Linked DNA regions of Mus musculus. The protein of the gene in region 1 interacts with the protein of each later gene in a biochemical or structural test. Links are inferred from orthologs where the notes say so. Each region holds a gene or a part of one and is shown on either strand. Other genes may lie near its edges.

Evidence for each region.
Region 2: the proteins of Dlg4 (region 1) and Net1 interact in a biophysical measurement, tested with the Homo sapiens proteins (2 studies listed by IntAct, with this or other methods). The link is inferred for Mus musculus from reciprocal best matches to the Homo sapiens genes DLG4 and NET1.

Annotation. Positions count from the first base shown.
Region 1 is NC_000077.6:70,037,588-70,041,336, forward strand, and holds part of Dlg4 (disks large homolog 4 isoform 6 precursor), read left to right. Parts: intron 1-1,435; coding exon 1,436-1,731; intron 1,732-1,896; coding exon 1,897-1,999; intron 2,000-2,159; coding exon 2,160-2,274; intron 2,275-3,749. UniProt on the Homo sapiens protein: Postsynaptic scaffolding protein that plays a critical role in synaptogenesis and synaptic plasticity by providing a platform for the postsynaptic clustering of crucial synaptic proteins.
Region 2 is NC_000079.6:3,915,421-3,919,634, forward strand, and holds the start of Net1 (neuroepithelial cell-transforming gene 1 protein), read right to left. Parts: upstream 2,801-4,214; 5' UTR 2,646-2,800; coding exon 2,518-2,645; intron 1-2,517. UniProt on the Homo sapiens protein: Acts as a guanine nucleotide exchange factor (GEF) for RhoA GTPase. May be involved in activation of the SAPK/JNK pathway Stimulates genotoxic stress-induced RHOB activity in breast cancer cells leading to their cell death.

The DNA.
Region 1 (3,749 bases):
ATGTTGGGAATCAGGCATGGCGGTGGATGTCTGTAGACCTAGGTACTCAAAGGTGTGAAGTGGGAGGATCGATTGAGCTCAGCCAAGGCCCAAGGAACATAGATCTTTGAAAGTAAAACCAAAACCAAACTTGATCAGATGGACACAGGCTGGGGGTCTGTCATGCAGTGAATGTCCAGGCTGAGCAAAGCCTGTGTTCCCATCTTCATGACAAGATAACTTTCCATTGTTACCTTTGGAGGACGCTAGGTTATCTAGAGGCCTACCATTTCTTCCTGGAAACGTAAGCAAGGGAGAGAATCAGTCATCCACTCGCTCTCCTCTGTGTAAGCTTATCACAGAGTAAGCTCAAGGTGCTGGGCAGCAGTTCTTGTGTGCACGCGTGTGTGGGTCTGTATGTCTTCTTACCGTTTTTGTTTTGAGATAAGGTCTCATTATGTAGCCCAGGCTAGCTTCAAAGTCCTCATGTAACCCACGCCGGCCTTCGGTTTACAGCAGTGGGATAGTAGGCTCGAACACAGCACTCAGCAGGTCCTTTCTAAAAAATCTTATTAATGATTGTACAACATTAACACTTGGCAGTCTCTTTGAGCATCAGCCTTAGACACCATCCTGAATGCCTGCAAGGACTACGGAAGGAGCCTGATAGAACACGTTGTATGGGCAGGCCAGCCTGATGACCTCAGAACCTGCCAGTTCAAGAAAGACAGGCAGACAGGCCCCCACTTCCCCTTTCCTTTTGAGACAGGGTCTTACTATGTAACCCGGGCTGGCCTGGAACTCAATGTGCTTCGGCTGCCCCAGTGGATCTGAAGTGTGGGTACCACACCCAGCAGACTTCACTGCATTCTTTGGGAGGCACAGGACTCCACCCTGGGTGAACATTTTCACGTTGAATCTGAGCCTACTGAGCCTCTAGAACAAATCTGGGAAAACAAAAACGGTGCTGAGCTGGGCACAGGCTAAGCAAGACCACAGGGAAACGAGCAGACTGCTAGCCCTCAAAGAATGTGGGAAAATACTTTAGACAAATGACCCAATTAAAACAAAACCAAAACCAAAACCAACCAACCAAACAAACAAAAAAACCCCAACCACCCAACCAACAAACAGAAACCAGGAATGACTGGGCAAAGGGAGAGGAATACTGTGGATTGAGAGACCCGAGAGACACTTTAATCAGAAGGCAGTCTGAAAGAGCATGATGCTAATATTCCCCTGTTGTCCCCATTCCTGCCATACTAAAGACATACGACCTTCAGATCCCTTTGATGTCATCTGTAAACTTCTGACCCCTGCTGCTGCGGGTTACCCACAAACCTTTTCGGCAGAATAACTCCTCTTTGGCTGAGCCTGGCTCTGGGCTCCCTCTGGAGAGGGTGGAAGGGTGGGTACCACCGTCAAAGCGTTTTCATCTCACCCTGTCTCCCCTCAGCATATTCTCAGCACCTGGACAATGAGATCAGTCATAGCAGCTACTTGGGCACCGACTACCCCACAGCCATGACCCCCACTTCCCCTCGGCGCTACTCCCCCGTGGCCAAGGACCTGCTAGGGGAGGAAGATATTCCCCGGGAACCAAGGCGGATCGTGATCCATCGGGGCTCCACCGGCCTGGGCTTCAACATTGTGGGCGGCGAGGACGGTGAAGGCATCTTCATCTCCTTCATCCTTGCTGGGGGTCCAGCTGACCTCAGTGGGGAGCTACGGAAGGGGGACCAGATCCTGTCGGTGAGAGAGGCCCGTGCAAGGGTCTGCACTGCCCACCAAAGAGAGTCCTGTGCTCTTGGGGAGGGGCTCAATGGGCTCAAGCCAGGTCCGGTTGGACCACTCCCTGACTCACTGAGTCCCAAATTGTCTTCCCATCCCAGGTGACAGTGTCTTCTCCCTTTCTAGGTCAATGGTGTTGACCTCCGCAATGCCAGTCATGAACAGGCTGCCATTGCCCTGAAGAACGCGGGTCAGACGGTCACGATCATCGCTCAGTATAAACCAGAAGGTACCACGCCTAAGCTTCCCTGTCTTGTTGGCTAAGGTGGTCCTCAGCATTGTCTTTAGCTGATGGACGGACAGGTGGTCTCAGTAGGGGTAGGGTGAGGTTTGGCGGGGTGTGGCATTAGGATGGGGCAGAGTTCCAGAACCTTCTTGTCCTTTCTCAGAGTATAGCCGATTCGAGGCCAAGATCCATGATCTTCGGGAACAGCTTATGAATAGTAGCCTGGGCTCAGGGACTGCATCTCTGCGAAGCAACCCCAAGCGGGGCTTCTATATCAGGTAAGAAGCGTCCTTGGCGTGGCTCTGGAGGCCTCCATGAACTCCTGCCCATCCCCCACACAGCTCCTTCCCTAAATCTTGCCCTTCTCCTCTCCCACCCAGACGTGAGTGACCCTTAGCCATGGGTTCATAGACTTGGCTGCACACACTGGTCTTCTGGAGTATATTATCTGGTTGAAATTTAGTGCCTGCCCCAAGTGTTTGAATTGCCTTCTAGGTCCCGGTCACACAAGCACTAACCAATGGCTCTCAATGGTAGGGCCTAAGGCCAGTGTGTGACACAGCAGGCGTCTCTAGCTCTCTCTCTCTCCCTCCCTCCTCTCCTCCCTCCCTCCCTCCCTCCCTCCCTCCCTCCCTCCCTCCCTCCCTCCCTCCCTCCCTCCCTCCCTTATCCCCTAGGCTGAGTTTGAACCCCTGTGCTTTAATAATCTTCCTGCCATAGATACAGGCACTTGTCACCATGCCCAGCTTTGGGATATTTTGAGTCTTCCTCCAGCTTGGCACCCTTGTGGGAAGCCTCTGCGGAAGGACTGCAGCTCCTCTGTGCCCGCCGCCTGTCTTTCTTACTTCTTGCCCTTCCTTCCATCTCTGTGCTAGGGATTGAATCCAGGGCTCCGTACATGTTAGGCAGGCACCAAAACCACCGTTGAAAATCCACCTCAGCTCACCTCCCGACTGCTCAGTAGCATTTTCTCCCTTCTCGGGGCCTCTTTTCTCATGAGTCCCCTTCCTGTCTCTTCACAAGGCGTTGAGGTCTCGTCCCTCCCCTTCCCTGTCTCTCCCCTCCATCTGCTTTCTTTGTTCAGGTGGCTGGTCTTATCTGCCCTCTGCTATACTGGTGTCCCTGAGAGCTGTGTGGCCTGGTGGGATGCCTTCTTGGAGGTTCCAACCATTCTGGATGTTGCCTTTAGGCCATCTCCATTGGGTTGTCCACAGGCTTGTCACAGCCAACATGTCTTAGACTCAGCTTGCTGTGTTTCTCCTGGATGCCTGTGTTATGTCTTAGGGACCCACACCTAAGCGCTCCCTCTCTGTGGGAGGCTAGCAGGTGCTGGGGGTCATTTAGTTCTCACTGCATGACTCGGGGGCTTTTCTCCCCAGCCCCACTGCTTTTCTCTGCACCTTTGTTCTTTCAGAAACTTCCCAGAGCTTTTTGTCCTTAGACAGGTCTGGGATTGCTTACCGTGTGTGTGTGTGTGTGTGTGTGTGTGTGTGTGTGTGTGTGTGTGTGTGTGTGTGGGTGTGTGGGTGTGTGGGTGTGTGGGTGTGCATGTGTGTGTGTGTGCCACCCGGGAGGTTCATACTTTGCTTGCAGATCCCGTGTGTGTGTGTGTGTGTGTGTGTGTGTGTGCCACCGGGAGGTTCATACTTTGCTTGCAGATCCCTTGTCCAGAATCTGGCTGGCTCTCGGGGTGCCTGGTGAATCTTTCCTGGGGTCTTCAGCCAGGCCCTGACCCATAGTCACTTGTGTTATC
Region 2 (4,214 bases), on another chromosome or scaffold:
CTTTGCCCTATTAACCTTTTCATTACTTCTGGTGGGTGGTAGGTTAGAATGGAGGTTGAAGCATTTAAGAACCCTTATTAAAGTAAGTTTTGAAAATAAGACAACACCTATAGGCTTATATATTTGAATGCAAACTCTTGAAAAGGATTAGAAGGATTAAGAGGTGTGGCCTTGTTGAAGGAGTATGTCACTGGGGATGAATTTTGGGGTTTCAAAAGCCCATGCCAGGCCCTGTCAGACTGTCTTCTGCCTGCAGATGGGGATAAAGCGCTCTGGCTACTTCTCTAGCACCATGTCTGCTTACATGCGTCCCATGATGATGATAATAATGGACTACCCTCTGAAACTGTAAGCCAGGCTCAGTTAAACCTTTTCTTTAAGTTTTGCCTCGATTATGGTGTCTCTTCACAAAAATGGATCAGTGACCAAGACACCTGGGCATGGGCCTTGCTCTGGAGTGTGGTTGATATACCAATACTCCACTGGAACAAAACAAAACAACAATTTTCCTTTTCCCAGGAGGTATCAATTGCAAACAGCTTCTTGGTTCTGAGTGGGATGGTGTGTCAACTCTCCCATTCTCAGTGCTAGGATCTTGTCTGGTTTGAACCTGTTGCAGGTCTTGTGCATTCCTTCAATCTCTGTAAGTTTAGATGTGCATCAGTGCTCTTATGTCTGGAGGATACTGTTTCCTTGGAGTCATCTACCAACTCTGGGCCCTAGAATCTTTCCTCTTCTGCACAGAATCAAAAAGGCTTAAATTCACTGCATGATGTGACCAACGCCTCCCAAGAGAATCTAAGGTTCCTGAGAGCAAGCGCTCCATCTGCTTTTGTTCACCTGAATCCCCATCATCCTCAACAGTGTCTGATGCTAGGGCAGGTGCAACTGTATTACACTGAGCACACGTGGAATGAAGCACTGCTTCTGTTCATCTTCAGGAAGTCCTCCTTTTCTGCTCCTTCACTAGCCCATCCTAATTCTTGTAATTCTCAGTCTCAAAGATGCCTTCTTTCTGCACTCTGACTTCTTAAACACACGGTCTGATTGGAAGAGAGGAAGTTTCAGAAGGCAAGAATTCTGGTAAATATTGCCTTAAACTTCAAACTCATAAAAATCAGTACTAACTGAAAGAATCTAGCTCTTTATAGAGTTACTTAATACAATGGGTTTGCCCATGCCTTGATAATGAAAGTAAGGTGTTTGCTTTTTCCTCAAAACCATTTGTCATGATTAGATTATAAGCTATATAAAAGATTAATTTAACATCCTATCAAATGACCTGGGCGTCGAGGTTCACACTGCAATCCGAGAACAGGGGGAGGCTAAGGAAGAAAGACCAGTTTTTAGGCAGAACGGTTTGGAGCCTGCTTGGTGACAATTCCTCTTCTCACCAATAGTCCTATGGATGTAAGACCACCTACAGTCCACCAGTTTCCATGGAGAACAGCTCTGGTACAGAAGTACAATATGAGTTTGTGGCCAGCGTCTCTACACAGGTAGTGAGTTCTGGGGTAACCAAGTTACACAGTGAGAACTTGTCTCAGAAACAAAACCAAAAAAACCCTGAAATCATGTCAAGTGGACCATGGGGATGTCTGAAAAGATGGAGCAGACACAGCACTGTTACTTTAACAGATTTAAAACTGACAGACAAGATTTCTGCCGAGTTTTCTGCCGAGGCCCATGATAAGTACTGATGTTCACACAGTGCCTTATATGAGGCAGACACTATCATAAACTCACTATGTAGACGTAGATTTGAACAAAGTTACATACTTTGTAACTCAATGTCTAACGTTATAATGGGAAACCATTGCATTCAGTACTTTGAGACCATTTCTCATATTTCGAAGGGCAAAAGAATGACAGAGTAGTCCAGACAAATGCCATTTCAATTTCCTATTTAATAAAAATATTATGACTCCCACAGCCTCTCTTCCAGACACAGATTTCTGAAATCAACCTAGTGTTTGCCTTTCCCAGACACATAGAAATGAAGATACAACACAGAATGTGAAAATGTGCTAATAACTGAAAAGCCAGAAAGAGTCTTTCTCTGATCTCTTCATTCCAGGAGCCTGTCCTGTTCTGGTCTGCAAAGGACATTTCATTTGAACAGCCGCTTTTAGGCTGAAAGGGTTGGTATCTGTTCAGGTGACAATTCCTCTTCTCATCACAGGGTCCACGACAGTCTTGATCTGAGCGCCTGCATCCACAACTAGTTTCTGGTAGAGAACAGCTCTGGTGCAGATGTACGGTTCCCCAGGGACGGGGTTAAAGGAGATTGTCAACAAGTCCAACGAGTCCACCCCTTCTACGCAGGGCCGAGCAGTCGCTGTGCAGCCCTCGGTGCAGCCCGCCGGGCAGCGCACTCTCCTCCCGCGGCATTTCTGCCCGGCCTTCCCCAACCTCCCCTACTGCACTGCCAGTCCTTGGTCACCCACCGTCCAGTCCATCCCGTCCTGAGTCTCCAGACTCGGTCCCCGGCTCTCACCCACCTCCCGCCACCCTCACCTCTCGTTCGCCGCCGGCCCGGGTGTGTCGGCCGGAAGCCCCGCGGCAGGTTCCTCGCTGAGCATTGAGACCCTGCGGCTTCTCCTCCGAGGTCGGGGCTGCTTCTGAGCCGCCGGCTCTGGCTCCATGTCCGGAGAAGGGGGGTTGGTGGGGCGGTGGCCCAGTGCCCAGGAGACCGATCGTGGCGGGCACAATGCCCGCCAGCTTCTGCGAGGCAGCAAGTCGCCTTCTAGCAGAGAGCGGCTACCGCCGTCATCCGGGGATTTGAAAATGGCGGCTGCCCAGAGATCGGCCAATCAGAGAGTGGGAAGCGGTTGCTAGGCTACGTGGAGTCCCGCCCTAATCAGAAGACTTCATACCAAACTTTTAGGAGCTCCAGTGACAAAGGGAAAGTGGTAAGGTGAAAGTTAGGAATTTGGGGATTTATTTTAACTACACACCTTACTCCTGAAAGGCAGTCTCTATTCACTAGAACTTTCACTTGCAGGGCAGGAAAATGGATCGGAAGCTGTTTATCATTTGTTGTTGTTTAGCGTTAGACAGGATGAAGGTATTGACCCCAAAGCAAGAGGCAGTTGGACGTATAAACACTAAGTTATACATGTGGAATATATTCCCAATTGCCAAAGACAATACTTTGTTCTCCAGGATGTCTCTAGAGAACCAGTGAAATCTAGTTATGTACTCCTGTCTTTCAGTAAGTAGGACACAGTCGCTTTACCGAATGGAAAGGGCTGCTTTCTCTGCTTGCAAGACTGCAAAACGTGCAGCATGAAACAAGGGACCCTGCTCAGGTTATTATGTGAAGATTGGTAAATAAAAACGTTCTCTGATTTTAAATATCGCTAATGGTCTTAAATGTAGTCTCTCTTGTATACAGGGAGATATTAATGATGTTGTGTATAATAGAAAAATTAAAGGCAATCTAAATGAATGACTGGGAGATGTCTAAATATAACTGATTAACTGTGAAGACTGCATTCAGCCGATAAAGAAATGGTCTTCTTCAGGGAATACCATTGGTTAGCCAATACTAACAGCTAGCCCTGAAAACATACAAATAACATCATACAGACTGAGCTGGCTGTATTTGTGTATTTAGGAACATATATGTATAACATATTGTTACATATTGACTATGTAACAATAATTAATAAAAAGAGTCCATGAATGTGAAAGATAGCAAGAAGGGGTATAGGAGAGAGTTGGGAAGGAGAAAAGAGAAGGGAGAAAATGGTGTGATTATATTATAATCTTGAAAATAAAAGAAAATTAAAAATAAGAGGTATATAGTAAAACAAAACATTGTGATTTTAACTGAAAGCATAAAATATGAAATATAGAACAATGATGGCTAGTTTTATGTCAATTTAGAAAAATTCTGTTTTAGGGTTTTACTGCTGTGAACAGACACCATGAAAGAGACAGCCCTTATAAGGACAATATTTAATTGGGGCTGGAATACAGATTCAGTCCATTATCATCAAGGCAGGAACATGGCAGCATCCAGGCAGGCATGGTACAGGAAGAGCTGAGAGTTCTATATCTTCATCTGAAGGCTGCTAGCAGAATACTGGCTTCCAGGCAGATAGAACAAGGGTATTCAAGCTCACACCCACAGTGACACACTTACTCCAACAAGGCCATGCCTCCAAACAGTGCCACTCCCTGGGCCAAGCATATTCAAACCATGACAA